Linked DNA regions of Diceros bicornis minor. The protein of the gene in region 3 interacts with the protein of the main gene of each other region in a pairwise test. Links are inferred from orthologs where the notes say so. Each region holds a gene or a part of one and is shown on either strand. Other genes may lie near its edges.

Evidence for each region. The genes of interacting proteins can lie anywhere in the genome.
Region 1: the proteins of TFIP11 (region 3) and ARMCX1 interact in binary tests that used the Homo sapiens proteins (3 or more experiments, as listed by UniProt). The two-hybrid records come from large-scale screens. The link is inferred for Diceros bicornis minor from reciprocal best matches to the Homo sapiens genes TFIP11 and ARMCX1.
Region 2: the proteins of TFIP11 (region 3) and TRAF3IP3 interact in binary tests that used the Homo sapiens proteins (3 or more experiments, as listed by UniProt). The two-hybrid records come from large-scale screens. The link is inferred for Diceros bicornis minor from reciprocal best matches to the Homo sapiens genes TFIP11 and TRAF3IP3.

The regions. Positions count from the first base shown.
Region 1 is NC_080781.1:94,604,826-94,612,073, forward strand, and holds the start of ARMCX1 (armadillo repeat-containing X-linked protein 1), read left to right. Parts: upstream 1-4,238; 5' UTR 4,239-4,352; intron 4,353-6,398; 5' UTR 6,399-6,506; intron 6,507-7,248. Other genes in the region: ARMCX4 (armadillo repeat-containing X-linked protein 4), read left to right, coding at 1-1,171. UniProt on the Homo sapiens protein: Regulates mitochondrial transport during axon regeneration. Increases the proportion of motile mitochondria by recruiting stationary mitochondria into the motile pool. Enhances mitochondria movement and neurite growth in both adult axons and embryonic neurons.
Region 2 is NC_080743.1:75,798,600-75,806,451, forward strand, and holds the start of TRAF3IP3 (TRAF3-interacting JNK-activating modulator), read left to right. Parts: upstream 1-4,842; 5' UTR 4,843-4,924; intron 4,925-7,852. UniProt on the Homo sapiens protein: Adapter protein that plays essential roles in both innate and adaptive immunity. Plays a crucial role in the regulation of thymocyte development.
Region 3 is NC_080774.1:20,626,990-20,633,934, reverse strand, and holds the start of TFIP11 (tuftelin-interacting protein 11), read left to right. Parts: upstream 1-3,924; 5' UTR 3,925-3,994; intron 3,995-6,023; 5' UTR 6,024-6,032; coding exon 6,033-6,241; intron 6,242-6,945. UniProt on the Homo sapiens protein: Involved in pre-mRNA splicing, specifically in spliceosome disassembly during late-stage splicing events. Intron turnover seems to proceed through reactions in two lariat-intron associated complexes termed Intron Large (IL) and Intron Small (IS).

The DNA.
Region 1 (7,248 bases), on a different chromosome or scaffold from region 3:
GATCAGTTTAAGGTCTTTGTTTTGGGCTGAGAGTGAGAACAGTAATGAGTCCAGATCCAAGAGTGAGAAAGATGTCAATTCTGAGTGTAAGGCCAGCACCAAGGATAAACTTGAGGCTGCTGGTGGAGTCGATGTAAGGTCTTGGTTCTGGGCTGGTAATGAAAACAGAAGTGAGGACAAATCTACACCTAAGACTAAAGCCAAAAAGTCAGCTGAGTCAAGAGGCACATATCCGTCCATGGTCCCTGGGGCAGGAATGGGGTCATGGGCAGGAGCCATGATCTGGACAGAAATGAAATTCCCATACCAAAATGACTCCTGCTTCCCACCTGAAGAGGAACTCAGAAAGCAGATCAGGTCTGGGGAGAAAACTCAGCCCTGGGCCTGCCGCTGTAAACGTGAAGCTAATATGGATCCACGAGAACTTGAAAAACTCATTTGCATGATTGAGATGACTGAAGATCCTTCTATTCATGAAATAGCCAATAATGCTCTATATAACAGTCCTGATTATCCATTTTCCCATGAAGTCATTCGTAATGCAGGTAAAATCTCAATTATTGAAAGCTTGCTCAATAATCCCTACCCCAGTGTTAGGCAGAAGGCTTTAAATGCACTGAATAACATCTCAGTGGCTGCTGAAAATCATAGGAAGGTTAAAACGTACTTAAATCAAGTATGTGAAGACACCATCACTTATCCCTTGAATTCAAATGTGCAGCTGGCTGGACTAAGATTGATAAAGCACCTGACTATTATTAGTGAGTATCAGCATATGGTGACAAATTATATTTCAGAATTTCTTCGTTTGTTAACTGTGGGAGGTGGAGAAACTAAAGACCATATTTTGGGAATGCTTTTGAATTTCTCTAAAAATCCATCTATGACAAAAGACTTACTCATTGCTAATGCACCAACATCACTGATTAATATCTTTAGCAAGAAAGAGACAAAAGAGAATATTCTTAATGCTCTTTCACTATTTGAAAATATAAATTATCATTTCAAAAGAAGAGCAAAAGTATTTACCCAGGACAAGTTCAGCAAAAATTCCCTTTATTTCGTATTCCAACGACCTAAAGCATGTGCCAAGAAACTTCGAGTCTTAGCAGCAGAATACAATGACCCTGAGGTGAAAGAAAGAGTTGAACTGTTATTAAGTAAACTCTGATTAGTTTTATGTTTCCAAACAAAGCTGAGTAATATTTTGGTTTTGCAGACTGGAAATAATGCACATTGTAAATTGCATTATAACTTCAAAACTGATGTTACTTATGATGGTCTATAGTTGGACCACTTTATGAACACCAAATGAATTCAAACTTGTACTGAAAATACATGTGTTGATTTTACCTTGTCTGGATTGAGATATTTTTAGTATGCTTCATGAGCAGAAACTGAACTGATTCTTCATAAGTAAGGTAATCTTTGGTCCTTTGTGTGGACTTATGTTTATATATTTGAGACTTTATTTTTATGTCATCAATAAAGTTGTGTGTTTTAAGCAGAAAAAAAGAGACATGTCTTTGTCCTTGAGTGTATGATCTATTTGGAAAGACAAGATGTATGGAAAAAAAAGATATTAACAAAACCGGGAGCCTCTGATCATGGCCAGCTGCTTCCTATTAGTGCTTACAGGTGGCAGAAACTTCTGCAGGCAACAGTGCTCAGGGAAAGTTTTACAGAGGAGGGGACACTTAAGTAAGCTAGGCTTGAAGGATTGGATAATAATGGGGCAAAAGGGCATTGGAGGAGGGAGGAGTGGCGGGAAGAAAGGCATGGAGGTGGGAATCCTGCTCCAGAGAGGAGGCTGGGCTGCCTGGAGCGCAACGTGTGGGGAGGGGAGTGATGGGAAATACGGTCTGGCAGTTGGGGTGAGTCCCATTCGTGGAGGATCCCTGACTGCTAAACCGAGATGCCTGCGTATCACTCCATCCACCCCTGGGAGACACCAAAGCCTTTCGTGACCAGAGGAGTGACAGGATGAAAGTAAAACGGTGTGGCTGATTTCTGTGCAGGATGGGTTGGAGTTGGGGGTGGGGACAGGAGTGGCCACTGGAGATTGGAACACCACTTAGGAAGTTACCACCATCGTCCAGGCGTGAGATGATAAAGGCGTGAAATTTCACTGCTGGCCGTGGGAATGGTAAGGGGAGGAAGGAAGTGAGAGACCCTCTGAAGGAAGAAGTTCTGGAACCTATTCTGGGGGCATACAGAGAGGGACAGTTTTCTTTTAGGGGCCTGGGGCCATTTGACAGGAAAACGTCCTCTTTCTTGGCCAACTCTTGGTGTCTATGTAAGTGAATACGTTAGTTATTATTTTGAAATCAGAAAATATACTAGAAGAAAGAATAATTTTTAGTGCTTCTATCAGATTACTTTTATAAGGTTGGTTGGGGCAGGATCTTTATGGAACCATCACGAGGGCTGTTGGTATCCATACTGGAGAAGATCCACAACTCTCCCACCCCAGAGGGTGGTGAGGGTGTGTGGGGAGGGGCACTCTCAGACTGTGCTGGTGGGAGCCTACACTAGGACGAGGTCAATTTGGATACATGTTTCAGAAGCCTTCAAGATGTGTGTGCTCTTTGACTCAATAATTCCACTTGTAGAAATTCATCCTTAGGAAATAATCCAATAATTGGCTTATACAAGGCTGTGCATCTTTTCACTGTTTTGAAGATTGAAAAATCATCAATGACCCAAGTGTCTTAAAATAGGCATTTGGCTAAGCAAATTAGTGTATGTCTGCACATTGAAACATTATGCAGCTCTTGAAATGTTGATGGGCATCTACACGTATTTACTTGGAAAAAATTCAGCATATAATCTTAAGCGAGGAAAATAGGCTGCCAAAGCACATGCCATACTTTTTACGAAGAAAAAGTATATATTTAAATTATCTCTATGTATAAACTTTGGTGTATACTCTGAGAATGTTAGTTGTTTCCTATGGGTGTTAGATTAATGGTGATCGTATCTGTTTTTTACTCCTCTGTATTTTCTGATTTTTATATAATAAACCAGGATTTTTTTGCATAATTTATCAAAAGGAATCGGATGGATTCAGGCTAAGCAGACTTTTCAATAGCATATCAGAGGACTAGAGAAAAAGTATAAATGGAGGCTCACATATTTATGTGTAAATATTTGGAAGGTATAAAAAATATTATAAATAAATATTATTTAAAAAAAGCTGTAAATGTAAGTGCAAATGTTTGGAAATTTAAACTTTAGTAACTGTGTTAAAAGTAAAACTGTTCTCAATTCTAGCATTTGATGGCCACCAACTTTCTAGTGGAAAAAATGATGTCAAACTTGTGGATTCTGCAATCTGCTGCCCTAATCTTCCTTCGGGAATAGAGGGCTTATTATTTCAGTTACTAGGAGTGCTCTTCCAAGGTCATACCCCCTTCCTGGGGTACTTCCCATCCAATGACTGATCAACATGGCCTTCTTGCCCCAAATGAGACAGCTTAACTTTTCCCTCCGTCCAATTCTGCTTCCTTCTTTTCCCTTCCACAGGTGTTGATCCCAAGAGCATTCCCTAATAAAAGCCCTTCATGCTGAACTCTGTGTCTGAGTCTGCTCTCCAGGAAGGCAAGCTACAACAGTTGGTATGAGAAGTGGTTCAGGAAAGCATACACTGTGATGAAATTTTGGAGGTGGATCATCTGCTGCCCAGCTGGCAATGAGGACCCCATCATTGGTGGTAGGTGGAGTAGATAGGCACCTAGAACAGGTGGCAGAGGAATTGTTAGAGCTTTCACTGGTGGTGAACTGGGATAGCACTGGTGAAGGGAATGCATTAACTGGTGCCAGGTAACAGCTTTGAGAAATATGTGGGAAATATTAAATATAAAGAAGGCCATAGGGCCGGCCCCGTGGCTTAGCGGTTAAGTGCTCGCGCTCCGCTGCTGGCGGCCCGGGTTCGGACCCCGGGCGGGCACCTACGCACCGCTTGTCAGGACATGCTGAGGCCGCATCCCACATACAGCAACTAGAAGAATGTGCAACTATGACATACAACTATCTACTGGGGCTTTGGGGGGAAAAATAAATAAATAAAGTTTAAAAAAAAAATAAAGAAGGCCATAAAATTGGGTGGCTATTGCTAAGCTTGATTAATCTGTAGAAAAAAATAATGAAAAGCTGAATTAAGTTAATCAACAATTAAAAGCTATATGTGAAAGCCTGAGGGCTTTATTTATAGCATATAATGAGGTCCTCATCTTTTCCAGGTAGAGGGTACAGAAATCTGAGGACCAGGCTCAAGACTTATTGAAAGCAAGCTTCAAAAAAGTTAAAATCCCAACCAAGTCAAATCTGCTGTGTCAAGATCAGGGTCCTAGGTAGGAAGGAATGGGGACCCTCACATATGGTATGGGGACATCTGGATTGATATCCCTAAAAATCTTGTATCCTGAGATTTCCCTGAACTGCTTGAGCATTCAGAAGTGTCCCACTCCTTCCTTTTAAGGGCTAGAACTTCATTTTGCTTGAACATGCAGAGCCTTTGTAAGATAACGTGTGTTTCCCTCAGAATCTGCCTCAACCTCCCATCCTGGCTGCTGGGCCTATATCTAGGGTTAAGTCACAGTGTAACCTCATTGGGGTTGTGCTGGGCCTCATAAGGAAGGAAAGGGAATACCCCAAGAAGGAGCTGTGGGACCTAGCCAGCGTGTACTAGCAGGTGCTGAGGGAGTAAGCATGGGACTGAATTCTGAGGGCCTTGATCAGGGGAGCTGGAATATAAAATTGAATAAAGGAGAATTAATTGATTTGAGAATTCTCTCCCAAGATAGAGGATTGAACACCCTGGGAAAGACCCCAGGAGACCATGTGAACTCACTACTAGAATGGCTCCTCAAAGTATGGAAAAAACAATGGCCCATATTAAGTGAGGTATGAATGCCAGAGTTTCCATAGCAGATGATGGGAGAAGGGATTAAAGGCTCAGGGAAGTGGGAATGATAGAATAAATGTATGTAAGGCCAGAAAACCCTCCTGAGGACTATGTTCTGCAGGTAGACCCAAAGGGTACGCCATTTGCCAAAGCTGTAAAGAATGCACCTGTGAGAGGGGCACCAGCATCACTTAGAAGTTCAGTGGTGGCTCGCCTCTGCAGGCCAGGGCTCAGAGTAGGAGAGGATGTTACAGGATGAGGGTAACTGATAGAAATGGCGATGGCTCTGAAACAATAGAGGCAGGATGACTGTACTCAACTGTCAGATGTTAGGTAGATGCAAATACCATAATGTACCACAGGGTCAGAGTGGCAGGCAGAGAGGCCTGACCTGCAGAGAGCTGTGGAGCTGGTTAATATAACACAGTGCCCCTGCCGAATAGATGGTTAAGAGGTAGTTAATAGAATGCAGGTGGTTAATATAACAGTGCCTTGGGGAAAATAGGCAGCCAACAATCTATACAATCAAAAGAAATCAAAGATGATCAAGAGTCTGAGAGAAGTTGCCTCAATAAAAAGTCACAATCCCTTGGCCAGCTTCTGGTCCTAAGTCATTTTTTGATCTAGAACTCACTGTTTGAAGGAGAGGCTGGGTTCCCAGAAAGAAGGACCCTATAACATATATGTAGTAATGATTCCTCCAGTTTTTCCATTTACTCAGGTAACTGTGCACTGGGAAAAGAGGAATACCCAAACATTTTGAGGACTGATGGTCACTGGTTCTGAGTTGATATTGATACTCAGAGACCTAAAGTGTCATCATAGTCCCCCTGTTAGAATAGGGTCAGATGGGAGCCTGGTATTAAATGGGCTCCTGGCCTAGTTCACAGTGGTTCTACTGGGTCCACAGACTCACCTGGTAGTTATTTTCTTGGTCTAGGAATGTATAATTGGAATAGATATTTTGATAGTTGGTACAAGCCCCATGTTGTTTTCTTGGCCTGTGGAGTCAGAGCTATTTGTAGATGAGAAGGCCAAGTGAAAGTTTCTGAAACTGCCCTCTACTTCCTCGGCCAAGATAGTAAATGAAAACGTACAGCATCCTGGGGAGGACGGCAGAAGTTAGTACCACCTTTAAAGACCTAAAGAATGCCGGGGTGTGGTCTCACCATCATATCTTTATTTAATGCACCAGTTTGGGCTTCTGCAAAACGTGGACAGAGCCTGGTATATGACAGTAGACTACTGCAAACTCGACCAAGTGGTGACACAAGTGCAGCTGCCATGTCAAATATGCTGTCTTTGCTAGAGCAGAATGACATGGCCTTAGGTACCTAGTAATTAGCTATTGACTTGGAAAATGTGTTTTTTCCTATCCCTCTCAGAGTGGAACATCAGAAAAAGTTCACATTCGCATAGAATGGGCTACAGTATACATTTATAGTTTTTCCTCAAGGCCCTACTAACTCTCCTGTCCTCTGTCATAATATAGTCTGAAGAGATCTGGACTATCTGAATATAATACTAGTCCACTATGTTGATGACATCATGCTAATTGAACCAAAAGGAGTAAGAAGTGGATAGCACATTGGAGGCCTTGGTAAGACACATGTACACCAGAGGATTGGAGATAAACCCTATAAAGATCAAGGGGCTGGCTACATTAAATGCAGTTTTTATGGATTGAATGGTTTGGGGCATGCCAGGAGATTCCCTCTGAAGTAAAGGACAAATTATTGCATTTTTCACCTTCCCCACGAAGATGGAATCCCAACGTGTGGTAGGCTTCATTGCGTTCTGGAAGCAGCAGATTTCATACCTGGAATTATTGTTTCGACCCATGTACTGGGTGACACAAAAAGCTGCCAGCTTTGAGTGGGCCCTAGAGCAAGAGAAGACTCTATAGCAGGTCCAGGCTGCAGTTTCAAGCAGTCCTGCCACTTGGCCCATATGATAGATAGACCCTAATGTATTAGAGGTATCTGTGTTGGCAAAAGTTGCCATATGGAGTTTTTGGTAAGCCCTAATGGGAAAGTCACAGCTTAGTCAAGAACTTAGGTTCTGGAGCAAAGCCATACCACATGCAATGGAGAATTATGTACCTTTTGAAGACAGTTTCTGGTATGCTACTATGTCCTGGTATAGATGGAATGCCTGGCCATAGGACATCATGTGACCATGCAAGTGACTATGCAGCCAGAACTGCCCATCATGAGCTGAGTTGTGTCAGATCCACCAAGGTGTAAGAGTGGGCAGGCCCAGCAACAAGATGGAAGTTTTATACACAGGATCAAGCACAAGCAGAACTGGAGGACACAAGCACCTGCACAATCAGCTAGAGT
Region 2 (7,852 bases), on a different chromosome or scaffold from region 3:
ACAAAGGTAATGGTTCTGACTGCCTAGGCTATCATGCAAAAACAATATATAAGTGAAGTAAGTGAAAGCATATTTTAGTGAATAAAAGCTTCATATTTTTAATTTTTTTTAATGATTTTGGAAGCTCAGTAATTTACGGAAGTATATTGTTTTTAAATAAATAATGTGGCTTTTAGTGATAAACTAAGAGTTCTCAGACTCCTATTATCAGACAACTCACACACACACCAGAGAGAGGAGGGTGGTGCTTTAATTGAGACCTAAAAAGCAGTAATTTTTAAAGTTTAGAAAGGAGTATTGCATACCGAGGGGATAAGCCATTATGATATCTGACTCAGAAGTAAGCCTTATTTTATACTCTGGCAGGCCCAAGGGGACACAAACTGAAATGAAGGTGAAACGAGAAGACTTAAGTTGCTCTGAGGATTAACACATGGTTTTTCCTTTTGGTCCAAATGGAGATGAATACCTGGGAAGCCCTCCCTCCTTTTTCTGGTCTACCTTACTCTTTCCTGTTCTGTCTGTTCTATAACACACACACACACACACACACACACACACACACACACACCACTCCACCCCCTCCCTCAGGCCTGAAGTTTCATCCCATCAGGGCCCTTCAAGGTCAAAGCTGGTAAGACCACCCTTCTCAGCAGCCTAAGATGCAAAGTAACTTGTCTTTCTCAATGCTGGGACCCGCAAGAACAGATGTGCAGTTAGTTGTGCCTTAGGGTTAGGCCTTTCAGATTCTTAGCATCTGTACAACAGACAAATCTGCTAATATTGATAATCTGTTACAGCATAATTTTGAGGTTTTATTATAGTAAAAAGTCCTCTATCAACAATGATGACACAAAGCAACAAAGAGAAGAAAAGAACTGAGAACTCTGTCCTGCCACAAGTGTGAAGTCATAACTCCATTGTAGAGAGGCAACCTTGCAAATGTAGGAGTTAAGGAAATAGTTATCTTCTTCCTGATGAGTTTAGACTGTATCACCTCTGAGAAGGAATATTTGTCCTTGGGATGTTTGTGTGGACATCTGATTAAACAGTTGCCAGGTAGACACTTGAAAGACTAAAGAGGAGAGTCTACAGAGCCAGCCCTGATGGCCTAGTGGTTAAAGTTCAGCACGCTCTGCTTTGGCAGCCTGGGTTCAGTTCCTGGGTGCAGAACCGCACCACTTGTCTATCAGTAGCCATGCTGTGGTGGCAGCTCACAGAGAAGAACTAGAAGGACTTACAACTAAAATATACAACTATGTACTGGGGCTTTGGGGAGAAGGAAAAAAAAAAGAGGAAGATTCGCAACAGATGTTAGCTCAGGGTGACTCTTTCCCAGGAAAAAAAAAAAGAGACGAGTCTGCAAGTCACTGGTTGGGGAGAAGTTGAACAAGAACAGACTTAAATGTGCCTATCCTGAGCCACTCTGCAGGACTTGGAGTTCCAAGTTCCCCTCACCAACCCCTCCTGCCACCTTCTGCAAAACTTGGGGTGACAAGGCCACCCCAGGCTATCCTGTTAACAGTGTCTGCGGCATTGTTCTAGAATGAATAACTTAGACTTGAAGAATGCATTGCTGAGAAAATGTTGGAGGGAGTGTAGTGGGGGATTCTAAGGCAAAAACAATTCTTATGGGCAAGGTTGCCATTTCCCGAAAGATGAATAGGGGAGTCATCCAGTAGGGTGGGAGGGGGAACAAGATTAGAACTAATAGCTCCCATGTGGGGACCTCCATAAAGAGTTTGACTTCTTGGTGTTATTTCTTAGAGTATGGGATAAGTCATAGTAGCACACAGTTTAAATGTTTTCCTTTCACAATTGGAATTCCCTTCAGTTACCCCAACCCTAAAATAAAATCTGATGATCCCATACATACTTGTTTGATGCTGTGAAGAGCAAAGCAACAGAGCTGTAAGGCAAAGTGATGCTTATCCTATATTTACTCCTCATGGGAGCCCACAGAGGACCCGAATCTATTAAGGAGACCATGTCCTGATGTTCCAGGATATGACCATCAATAAAGAGAGCCAAGGTCCCAGTGGACCTGGAAATGGTAAGAAGTACAGAGTGCTGGCCAGTAAATGCCACGTGACCAGCTCAAGAGGTGCCTGATCTAAATCCTCCTCTGTACTAGCCTATGCTAGAGGAAGGGGACCATCAGGGAGAGGCAGGCTGATGATTAGACTATATCTCTACTTGAGACTGATTTGGTAAATAAAGTTTTCTTAAATTCATTTTATCCAGATTTTCAAAATATTACCTTAGTTACACAAATGACTGTAAAAGTATTTTCATGTCCACTGTATGATAGTTACTTCCATGTACCATTCATAAATGTTTACAGATGTGCTTTCTCTCTTTTAAAGTGATTTGGCTAGCTGGTAGTTTATTTCATTGATTTTGTTTTCTATTGGTATTTCTACCTTTCCCCACATACAGACACAAGAACTAGCTCCTGGTATTCAATAGATAATTGAATTTATTTATCAATTCTGCTCTGAATTCTAACTTATTATATTGCTTTCTCTTTTTACCTTCTTTTTATTCTCACTTTCTTTCCTTGATTTTCCTGACTACTTTTTAGAAATTTGTTTGAAAATAAATAGCTAATTTATTTTTAATATTCCTTGTTTAAGTAATGAAAATATTTAAGACTATGAATTTCCCTTGGGTCATGCCTTGGCCATACCTCACAGATTTTGTTCTTAATGTTCTCGTTAGCATTGTTTTCAAGGCATTCTTTTTTGTGTGTGTGTGAGGAAGATTAGCCCTGAGCTAACATCCGTTGCCAATCCTCCTCTTTTTGCTAAGGAAGATTGGCTCTGAGCTAACATCTGTGCCCACCTTCCTCTACTTTATATGGGACACTGCCACAGCATGGCTTGACAAGCGGTGCGTTGGTCTGTGCCTGGGATCCTAACCTGTGAACCCCGGGGCTGCTGAAGCGGAACGTGCGAACTTAACCGCTACACCACGGGGCTGGCCCCTCAAGGCATGCTTAATTCCAGATTTGGTTTCCTCTATATTTCAAGAGTAAACCAGGAGAATTTTTTTTCCAAGAGGTTGAAGTGTTTATTTCTTCCCAGTTTTGTTATTTATTTCTAATTTTATTGTACTATGGTTGGGGAATTCTGCTGTAACAGATTAACTTGTTTTTTTAAGGTACTGGGGTTTGCTTTATGATCAATACAGTCAATTTTTTTGACGCTTCATGGGCATTTGAAAATAAGGTATATTCTCTAGTTTTAGTTTTCTCTGTGTGTGTATGTGTCTCTTTCTCTCCATATAGATAGATAAGTATGACAACCTTATTAATTGTATTGTTCTCACAACATAGTGTTAACAGCTCAGGCTCTGATGTCAAGCAAACTTGGGTCCAACACTTGCTGTGTTACCTTGAGCAGACTGTTAACCTCTCCAAACCCCAGTTAAAGTGGGTGTGGTATCCCATTGAGTGCATAGCCCTAAAAGGCATTTTGATCTTTGCACACACTTCTTTTTGACTTTTAATGGATTCCAAATAGTTGGTCCATAGTACCTCCTGTTATAACCTCCTGTCCTCTCCTATGCTCTGGTGCCCTAAACTCCCAGGACCCTCTCACTAGTCTTCTAAGCCAATAAAATTCTCTTATTCACCACCTTGGGCTCCCTAACCCCTCTGTCTTCTACTCATTCCCATCACCATATACCAAGCTCCAGACACAGGACCTTAGGCTCTTGTCTCTCTTCCTGAGGGAACGTCATTTGCCTTCAGTTCTAGTGCTTGAGAATCCATCCTCTGTGCTTTTCCCTGCCTACTCCTTGCCCTTTTTCTCCTCAGAGAATGGGGGAAGTAGCAGGCAATGAAGAAGATTGTGACATACTCCCACGTGTTAATGACTGTTATCCTATCACAGCTATTTAAAAATCTCATTGCACGCCTCACACATGTCAAGCCTTAGAATTCATAGGAGCCATATAAATCATCCAGCTACCATAATGAGTGGACCATGCAGACAAGGTGAATTGCACAAGGTTATAAAACTACTCAGTTAACTTACCCCAATCCAATTCTCTCTGCACTATCTTGTTCTGAACTTCTTGGGAATTTCCTGACAATATCATTTGTAGTGGTTTCTTTTTAATGCACAAAGATCAGTTCCTTCTAGTTTTTCCCCAAATTTCCTAGTCCAATTGACTAGGAAACTTTTTTTATAAGATTCTGCCTGCTGCTGCTCCCTTCATTCCCCAGTCACCCACCCACCACCTTTTCACCTCCTCCTCATTGCTCCAGAAAGGAGCAAATTCAGAACTGGCCTCATTCCAGAATTCTGAAAAAGACACCAGGTACTTTAGAAGAGTAGAAACTTTTTACAATACCAGGATTGGGAAGAGGCAACAAAAGGAAAATCCTTACACAGAGAACTACCTGACACACAAGAAAAGCTACACAGGGAACATCTCTTCAAGGTCAAAAATGCATTTTTTCCCCTCATAGAAACTGCAAGGTTTGAATCTGATCCAGAGGCCCATCCTTGTCCGCTCCTGGAAAGGAATCTTGACTGGAAACTGTCCGCGAGCTAAGACCAACCCAATAGCAAGAAGAAGGGTGGCTGGGGTGCCCAATGATGGGAGGAGCTCCTGAGCCCAGCGCTGGAGGCCTCAAGGGTTCAGGGGCCCCCTCAGACCGTGCCAGAGAGCAAGAGAGAGGAACTGGGGTGAGCAAGCACTGTGGCTTTGTCTGTTTCCGGTTTCAGCAAGGCTGCTGTGCGAAAAAAAAAAAAGACAGTACCAAGAAGGGAAATGCTAAGGGGGCCCAGAGCCATGGATTGAGAGCTTGTACTTTACACAGCTGCTGTCTTGCCCCATCTGAAACCAGAGCCAAGATCTGCCCAGGAGCTGGAATGCTTTCCTGAGCTGCTTGGGTTGGAGCCTGGGACCCAAGGTAACTGAGGAGGATGCTTTTGCATCCAGGTTTGGGAGCTCTAATTCTGGGGTGGGGCAGAAGACTCTGTCATCCAAGCTTCCCCAGGCTGAAGAGGGAGACACAGGGGTGAATGGCGTAGTTTAAGAGTGCTGGGGGTTGGGTAACCAAAGAAGCCTCCTGTGTTGGTTTCCAGGGGCACTAGCCACGGCGCAAGGGTACAGCTTCCATCACTCTACGTTCCATCTATTGGATTAGATTACAGGTGAGTCAAATGACTTAGAGTTCAGGCTACCCAGCGAGAGGGGCATAAATTCAATGATCTCTCATAGTTCCCCTCAAAGCAGGGACCCCCATAACATGAAGCTGCCTTTCCAGGTCCCTCTCTCCTCAGCTCACACTGAGAGCTCTGGACTAGGAAGCCCAGACCCATGTAGGAAGCCATTCATTGCAAACACAGCCAGGAAGTAGGAACAGAGACTTGGAAAGGCAGCAACAAACCACTGTCAGGTGAAGGGCAGTGCTCTGATCTCTCCCTGCGGCAGTGAGGAGAGCTTCCCCCAGCCAGTACTACCTCTTCCCGGAGCTCCAACTGGGCTCTGTCACGACGCCAAGAGGCACCCCACAGATGCCAGAAAGCCTGGGCAGTGGCCCAGTGACCTTTCTTTGAACTACACAGGGGCCAGTTCCTTTTTCTTCTATGGCCCATCCCCATCAGTCAGCCGTCCCACATGGCTTCTTGTGTTTAAGCAAATCAGAACAGTCAAGACATCCCGGAAGGCTGGGTGTGATTCCGCTCGGCTGTGCCACAACAAATCCCACCAGGTGTGAGGGTCTAGGGGTCTGAGAAGGCTCCCTTTTCTAAGGAGCCATTTCTACTCCAATTCCCCACTTGGGTAATAAGTCCCAATATCTGCCTCTCAGGAAGCAAAGCAGGACAGCCATATGTCTCAGTGGACTAGTATAGACAGCCTGGTCGAGAGCCCACGGAGAACTTATCTCAGGCTCCATCTCCTCCCCCACAACCCTTTCTTCTTCACGGCAGGAAGGCAGGAAGATTCTCCATAATCAGAGGATCTGCCTCCTCTACAAAGCCTGCAGATTACCTGGAGCCAAACAGAGAGGGGACTTAGCGTCCCACATTTTAATGGTGGCATGTAGGCAGGCTGGACACCAATTCTTCACTCCCATCTCTTCTTCGCCTTTCTCCTGGGACTAATGAAGATAGTGGTTTTGTCCAGACCACAGAGAAGTCTTTTCTCCATGTAGCCCAAACCCAGAGGTCAGATGAACCACAGCAGTAAATATGATTTCAACCCGGGGCCAGCATCCCCTCCGTACAGTAAACAGTACCCCTTCAAAGAGAAAGGAGGTGGGCGAGTTAGAGGATGAGGCATTCTTGGTCCTAGAAGTGCAAGGTTAGCTTGGGACCTTTGTCTTATAGCACTGAGTCTTCAATATCCAAGATCAGCAGGACAGGGATAATAATAATCATAGCTTATGTTTATTATTATTATTATAGAAAGCTAACACTTATTGTGTGCTATGTGCCAGATGCTATGTGTGCTATGTGCCAGACGCTTGACGTGCATTTTCTCTTTAATCCTCATAACCTTATGAGGTAGGTTCCCATTTTATAAATGAGGAGACAGAGGCTTAGAGATGTTTAATAGCTTGTTTAAAAGCACATAGGTAGTAGATGACAGAGCCAGGACATGTATCCACATAGTCTGAGTCAAGAGCCAGGGCTCCCCCTCCTTCCCCATCTACGGCAGAAGAGCCAGGAGCTACGGCTTGGATGCCGCAAGGGTAGATTCTGGACATTGAGTTCGCCAGCACTTAATCCTGAGTCTCCTCCATCCAGTCATTTATAACTTAATATGGATGGGCCTCTCAGATCCTTTTCTAAGGTTTTAAAGAAAGAAAGTGGCAGCATTGTGATAAGTGAGATAAGTCAGACAGATAAAGATGAATACTTCTCAGACAGGTAATGTGGACATGTCCTCAGCAGAGCTAGAAGTCATCAGAGTCCTAACTAAGGTGCTGAGGTATCTGTAAGGCCAGAGATCCCAGGAGTCTGCTGTGATTTTTAGGTACAAAGATATATGTACAATTGGCAATAATTGCCAAATTATTTCCAGAAAAGATACACCAAAATGAAACCTCAACTTCAACAATTTTGAGTATCTAACTCACTCTAACCTAACCAGCATAGAATATGATAATTTTAATTATCTTTGCCAATTTTGGAGAAAGTAATTAATGCCTTTGCTGTTGTAATTTGAATTTGATTGATTTTATGTTAGCTTGAACTTTAAAATAATCTTGTTGATGATTTTCGTTGCCTCTTTTGTTAAATGTCAATTCAAAGTGTTCTTAATGATTTGCTTATGCCTTATATGGCTGATATTACTTTTTGTATATTTAATAACTGCTTCTCAATTTGTAAAAAAAAAAAAAAAAGAAAGTGACAGGTGGGAAGATAGGGGACCCCTACAGAGTCAGAGTGAGGAGAAAAGCCTAAAGAAAGGGGAGAGCCACCCAGGGATGGGATGAGAGGACAAGCATTGACAACCTCACAGTTCTGCTTGGGTCAGCACTGCCCAAAACCAGAGTCTGCCCCTCCAAGCCTCGAGAGTCAGTTGAGCGTGTGCAGGGCTTGACCATGTAAGACCCCTCTCAGGGAGTGAGACTGCCCCACCCATGAGCCTGGGGAATCGGTGGTATGATCAGAGAGAGAGCAAGAACCCTGCAGAGAACTCCAGACTGAGCCAGGATGGACAGTGAAGTTCCAGTGAAGGGGCAGAGAGGCTGCTACCTGTTGAGTCTGTTGGCCTATAAATAAACCCAAGGGGCTAGAGCTGGCAAATGCCTGCTGGTTGGTGAAGCTGAGATACCCTTCTCTGACCTACCCAGGAACTAAGGTTTCCAGGGTGGTGGGTAGTGAGG
Region 3 (6,945 bases):
ATTTCAAGCCACTAAGTTTGGAGTTAACTGTTACATTGTAATAGATATAATACATAGGAACCCACAAAATATTTGTTAATGAATGACTGAATGAATGAATCAATGAATAGATGAGTGATGAAGGCTGTGGTTCCTCAACTCACCTGTGTGCTTTAGAGGATGCGTGCTTTACAGATAATTCCCCAGGCCCACGGAACTTCATGTCCCAGCTTTTCTATATAAGGATAGAGTGTTCGCAAATTCTTGAAAGATAAGTAGGGTAGAAACCATCTGTAAGAAACATTTAAAGGGAAACCAGATCTGCTAATCTCAGCCGATCTGGATTTTCAATTCTGCCAAGTTCAGGGTACATTTTTGTGACAGAATTCAAAATAAGAATAAGCCATGTGCAACTGTATAATGTCACTGTCCTAGAAAAGGTACTTGTGCTAGACTTTAAATATCTCAGCTTTGAAATACCACTTACTGATTGTTTCTATGGTACCAAACTATTTAAAGTTGTAACTAGGCGAGGATTTTCCCCCCAGATCTTTTGAAGGCAATATGGAAACAGTGCTGTATGGCATAGGCCACATAAAGGGGTGATTAGGCGTGTGAACTCAGGGGGTAATAGAAACTACCTCAGAAGGTTAAGGAATCTAAGAGATGATGTATGGTTTGTCTTTGTGACTCTGAATAGACAGGAATCACTCTATAAGTATTAGCTCAAATAAGTAGAGAGAAATGGTGTGGGTGCCCCATGCATGGTACAGCAGAGGAAGCACTGGTTTGGAAGTCTGACTCCTGGGTTCCAGGCCTGGCTCTGTCTATAAACTCACTGTGTGGCCCTGGGCACATTGCCTCATCTGTGAAAAAAGAGGGAGGGACTAATGAGTGTCCGGGGGCCCTTCCAGGCTCCTGCTCAGGAGCCGTGTTGCCTAGCAACCCTTCTGGGAAGGCTACATGTCTGAGTACCTCATTGGGAATCTAGACACGGGCCTGGACGTCCCCGAGTCCCAAAGCAAGGGTTTTTCTGGGCAGTGACGAGAGACCAGGGTGGATATGAGATCCTGAATCTAAACTTCTGGCCACCTCTTTCCTTGCTTTTCCTGAGGTTGGGCATTTGAGCCCAGAAATCCTGAAAATCTACTCATCTTTGAGGCTGAGAGGCCTCCCGTGCAGAGGAATAAGACTGGGTCTTTTCAGTGGAAATAGCCACAACCATTTATGAAGCTCTTACTATACCAGGAACTTTACATGTATTAGTCAGCCTTTTTTTTTTTTTTTGTCCTAAAAATAACCCTTTTAGAGCAGTACCACTGTTATTCCCATTTTACAGGTGGGAGAACTGAGGTGCAGAGAGGTGATGGAACCTGCCCCAGGTCCCACATTCAGGAAGCAGCAAAGTGGAGATTTGGATCCTTGAAGTTTTACTCCAGAACCTTCATTTTGGAAAAAAATTCTAAGTTCATAAAGAAGACATCTTTTTCTCTTAATCATTTGAGATTGAGTTGCTTGCTGGATGCTCCACCACCCCCAAGACTTGAGTATTTCCAAAAACAAAGACACTCTCCAATGTAACCACAGGACAACCATCAAAATCAGGAAATTAACACGGACACATCACACCCTGGAAACCCCGGACCCCATTTCAATTTTGCCCTTTGTCCCAATAACTTCCTTTATAGCAAAAAGATCCAGTTCAGATTCATGTGTTGCATTTAGTTATCGTGTCTCTTTAGTTTCCTTCAGTCTGGAACAGTTCTAGGGTCTTTCTCTGACTTTCACAACATTGGCACTTTTGAAGATAACAGGCCAGATTTTGGGAGAATGTCCCCTTATTTGGGTTTGTCTGACGTATCCTCATAATTCCCTTCAGGTTATGCATCTTTGGCAGGAATATCACAAGAGTGATGCTGCGATCTTCTCAGGGCATCCTACCACGTGGTACGTGATTTTCATTTGTCCATTCTTGAGGACACACACCCTGGTCACTCGATCAGAGCCTGCAGTGACGCCACAACAGTCCACAAAGGTCTCTTCTCCAGAAGCCACATAGTGGGGTCCATTTGGTGAAGCAAACCCATCAGCCCCTCATGATCAAAGTAATTTCAGCTCCATAAAGTCTGCTGTGAAGCTACAGACATAGCTACTGAGAAGCCAAGCTTACTTCTATTTTTGGCTTTGGGCTATAAACAGAGGCATATACATTTTCAGGCCCAGACTCAAAATGGTTTATCTCATCTGTTTCCCTCAGTCTGCTGCCTAGTGGACATTTTGGTCTCTTAGACTCTGTCTCCCCGGCGTTCTCCTCTACTAAAACCTCACTTTCCAGTTTCTTTCCTAAGTACATACTTTGTGTCAGGCACAGTGACACTACATGTCACTGGGGATACAGAGACCAGTAAAGCACAGTCCCCATTCCCAGTAAGTTTTCACATATTGGGGTATATGGGGTAAGTATTTGATTCAAAACTAATTCAGCTTGAACTAAAAAAGATGCCTGCCTTTGGCCTATCAAACATACATTGTATATCTGCTTTAACCATAAAAGTAAAGCACGCACTCTCTTAAGAAAGTATCCTTCCTCTCCTACACCCTATTGGTAACGCCCATATTAGTACTCCTAAAATAAATTCCCTGTCCCGACATCAGGGTCATGTTGACCTGCTAATTTGCAACTAAATACCTCTTTGAAACTTTGATGAAAATGTATCCCGGGTGTGTTTAATATAAGTTCTTTGTTCTAAAAAGATATAAGACTGTAACAAAAACCATGTTTCTCCCCAAGGCTTTCTCTCCCCAATGCTTTCTTCCTGTCCTGAAAAGGCCTTCCCCAGCTATAACCCTCAGTCTGGCTCAAGTAAAACTCACCTCTCTCTCTTATCTATAGAATAGTTATTGGTTATTTTGTGTGAACACCAAGAACCTGGCATTTAATTGGCTTCACGGGATTCTCATTTAATTAATAACACCCACTCGAAGTTAGACCCAAATCTTTTCGCTCCAAAGCACACCAACACTTGCGTCTTGGATATTTTCATCATACGGAGGAGAGAGAGAAACAGAGCGAGGGAACATACGAAAACATTAACGGCTAACACTTCCCAAGCACCTACTGTGTACCTGGTTCAGTTTTAATTGCTTACATATTGTATCTCATTGGATCCTCAACCATTTTGCAGGAGAGAGAACTGAAGCTTCGAGAGATGGAATGACTTGCCCAAGGCCCAGAGCTGGTAAGTGGCAGAGCTGAGATTGGTACTCAGAGCCAGTGAGGGATTCCCTGGGAGGGCCGCTGCCTGGTTTGTTCATTGTATCCCCCGAGCCCGGCACAGAGTAGACAGTACATTTTTATTAGATCAGTGAATGAATGAATTTATTTATCAACCGGCTGGAAAGGAAGAGAATGGAGAGGCTTCCTGGAGGGAATACTTGGGACTTCTCGAGTTTGCCCATTCATTCCTTCACTCCCTCAAACTCCTACATAAGGCAACTGCTCTGTGCCCACGACGGGGCTTACCGGAGACCCAAGGACACAGGAGACAGTCCTGACCTTCATCATCCCCACCTGAATGCCGTGTTCCGGCCCCGCTACTGCCTCACGCGATTCCCCACAACCATCCCATGAGCCAGTCCTATACCCCCATTTTACAGATTTAGAATCCCAGACCGGCAAAGGCCACGGCGGCTCGGCGACGTCCAGCAGCCGCGACAGGCTGGGCGTCTCCACGGAGCGGGCGCGGCAGGGAGGCCAGCGCGGCCGGGAAGGCACCCCCAGCCTCTCGGGGGCCAGAACATCCGCGTCTTCTTTCTGGCGTCTCAGCCGGGCCGCTCTAGAGCCAAAGCCGCCGTAGCCTTCCGCTGCTGCCATGGCAACCAGCGCGCCACTTCTGCGGTCGCGCGACGTCATTTCCGGCGCGCCGGGCTCTGCACGTCCGGCTTCCGGCGTCCCGAGCGGCGGGGCTCTCGCGCGGAGCGGGGAGCTGTGTGTGGCCGGCGGGACCCGGGCGAGGTGAGCGGGCCGGGGGCCGGGGAGGGGGCGAAGGGGCGTCCGCGCCGGCGGGAGTGGCTGCGAGGGCTCGGGGAAGGCGGCCTCGCCGTGGGGCTTCCGTTTCGCCGACGGCTCTGCCGAGGGCGGGCCGCCCGGCGTCCCCGGGGAGTCGGGGCCGGGTCGGGCGGGGACCGAGCCTCCGCCGCGAAGTGTGCACAGCGGAGCCCGAGCCTGGGCTGAAGTCCCCGGGTGCCGAGCCCTGCCTGCCGCGGGACCTAGGGCAGGTCGTGTAACCGCGCTCAGCCTCGTTTTCCTTATCTGAAGCCTGTACGGAAACGCCGGTAGTCTCCACCTCGTGGACGGGTCTTGATGCTTGCATTATCGGCCTGAAGCGTCCAGCCAGTGCTTGGCGTGTGTGGAGGCCTCTCTAACTCGTGACAACTCTAATTATTACTCTGCCCAGCGGCGTTATTGACTCCCATGTAGCTGGGACCTCCCAGAACATCTCCCTCCTTGCACTCCTGGATGAGCGTGGGTCCACCAGCACCCAGCCAGTGCACCAGAGACTGGAACAAGCAGGGAGAACTGTGTAACAGAGCGGACCCGAGTGTGACACTGCCTGTGGCGGTAGTGAACTCCTGTCCCCAGAGGCTGCTTGCAGCAGCTGGGCGACAAGAATCACGTCGCTGTCACACAGTGAATGTATTACTGCGTAGTGCACCATGCTTGGCACTTCGTGTGCATTTAATACTCATACACTGAGTACCTGGTAGGAGTGGGATTTGAAGTCAGGCTGTGATTGTAGTACCTGATTTCACACGCACTTTGCTAGGTTCATTCCCTAATCCAGTAATAGTGATGATGATCCTAATCTTGGCACTCCAGTAACAGCTCTTGTTCCTGGAGCACTTATTCTGAGCTAAGTGTTTTTTAAGCACCATCTCATTGAATCTGACTTATAAGCATTCTCAAAGGTTGGTATAGTAGTTAATCCATTTAAGAGACAGCTAAATCTCATCACCCAGCTACCAAGAGTTGAATTCTCTATTCCAACCCATAGATGTCTGACTGCTAAGGTAGTGTTCATAATTAAGACTGCCTTCCAGCTCATCAGAGGAAAACTAAGTCTTAGGGTTTCATCATCAAGTAATGTATTTCAGAAAGCTTATTCTCAAATATCACCCTCCTGGGACTGCCAAGGGTCCAGTATAACTCTTTCCTCAATGATAGAAAAAATAATAAAGTGTAGGGTCCTGGAAGATGACCACCCAGTTTTGGAGGCAATAATATATAGAATAACATACTTATTTAGTTATTTTTGTGTGGTTTGTGTATATGTGAGTGTGTGATTTTTATGACATTGGGACTAGGAAATACATGCTTGAGAATCACGTAGACTGTTGGGACTAGTCTTTTCTTCCATCTGTTATCGTACCGATTGTTTTCTAAATGTTTATGCTGAGGAAGATTCGCCCTGAGCAAACATCTGTTGCCAATCTTCCCTTTTGTTGTATGTGAGCTCCCACTATAGCATGGCCACTGACAGACAAATGGTGTGGGTCCACGCCTGGGAACCAAACCTGGGCTGCCAAAGCAGAGCATGCAGAACTTAACCACTAGGCCATCAGGACTGGCTCTGTTCTATTTTTGCTGAGGAAGATTTGCCCTGAGCTAACATCTGTTGCCAATCCTCCACTTTTCGCTTGAGGCCCTGAGTTAACATCCTTGCCTATTTTCCTCTATTTTGTACATGGGTCGCTGCTACAGCATGGCTGACAAGTGGTGTAGGTCCGCACCTGGGATCCGAACCCACGAACCCAGACTGCCGAAGCGGAGTGCACCAAACTTAACCACTAGGCCACTGGGGCTGGCCCTTGTTTTCTAAAATAAGGTTTTAACGTCTGCTTTGTTGAATTTTAACAACGGTTTTAAGGGACCGTGAGTTTGGAGGAAGTTCTGAAGGCAGCAGGGAGTAGGACTCACAGGGAATCCTTCTCCTGCTATGCCCAGGACTCATCACAGACTGTGCCTTTTTCATCCCTTCCTTTAGTGACTGGCCATGTCACTGTCCCACTTGTACCGGGACGGGGAAGGCCACATGGATGACGATGAGGACGAGCGGGAGAACTTCGAGATCACCGACTGGGATCTCCAGAATGAATTCAACCCCAACCGGCAGCGCCACTGGCAGACCAAGGAAGAGGCCACCTATGGAGTGTGGGCAGAGCGGGACTCGGACGAAGAGAGGCCCAGCTTTGGAGGCAAACGGTACTGGCCGGCATGGGGCTGCCTCCTCTTGCTTTAGGGAAGACGGAGAGGGAGTGGGGGAGATACCCCCATAAATATACTTCTCTCCTGGCCTTACTGAGCCCCTGCGCTATGACATCAGCTAGGGAGGTCCTGTTTCCTCTTTAGGCTAGAGGGCTGCTCCTTCACTGATTTGATCATCAGTTGGTGTCTGTTGAGTGATTACGTGTATTAGGCATTGCGCTATAGACTCAGTCCTTGCCTTTCAAGATCCCAGACTCGAGTGGATGGAGACAGGCGTTAATTAACAACTCACACAATGGAAGTTCGTAACTGATTTAGGACCTAAGGGAGAGCACGTTTTAGGGTGTTGGACCTATTTGGAGAGGTCAGGAAGATTTCTCTGGAGAAGCCATCCTTGAGCTGAATGAAAGAACGTAACTAGGGTAGGAGAGGTGCGGGTAAGCAAAAACCCTTAACGGGAGGCCACAGGGTATATCCGCGAGGACGCGAAAGGCTTTGCGGGCTGGAGTGGAGAGAGGGAGGGGAGCACAGTTTGAGAAGAGGCCGAGGGTCTGTGGTAGAGGTGTGGCGTGGGGCGGGGCTGTGTCTGCACCCTTGGCTGGTGTGCAGAGTTGTCGTGGAGTCACAGTGGAAGATGGAGCTGTGTGAGGAGGCGGTGGTCCCTGCAGAGGGGGAGGCCTGGGCTAGGAGGGGGCAGGGAG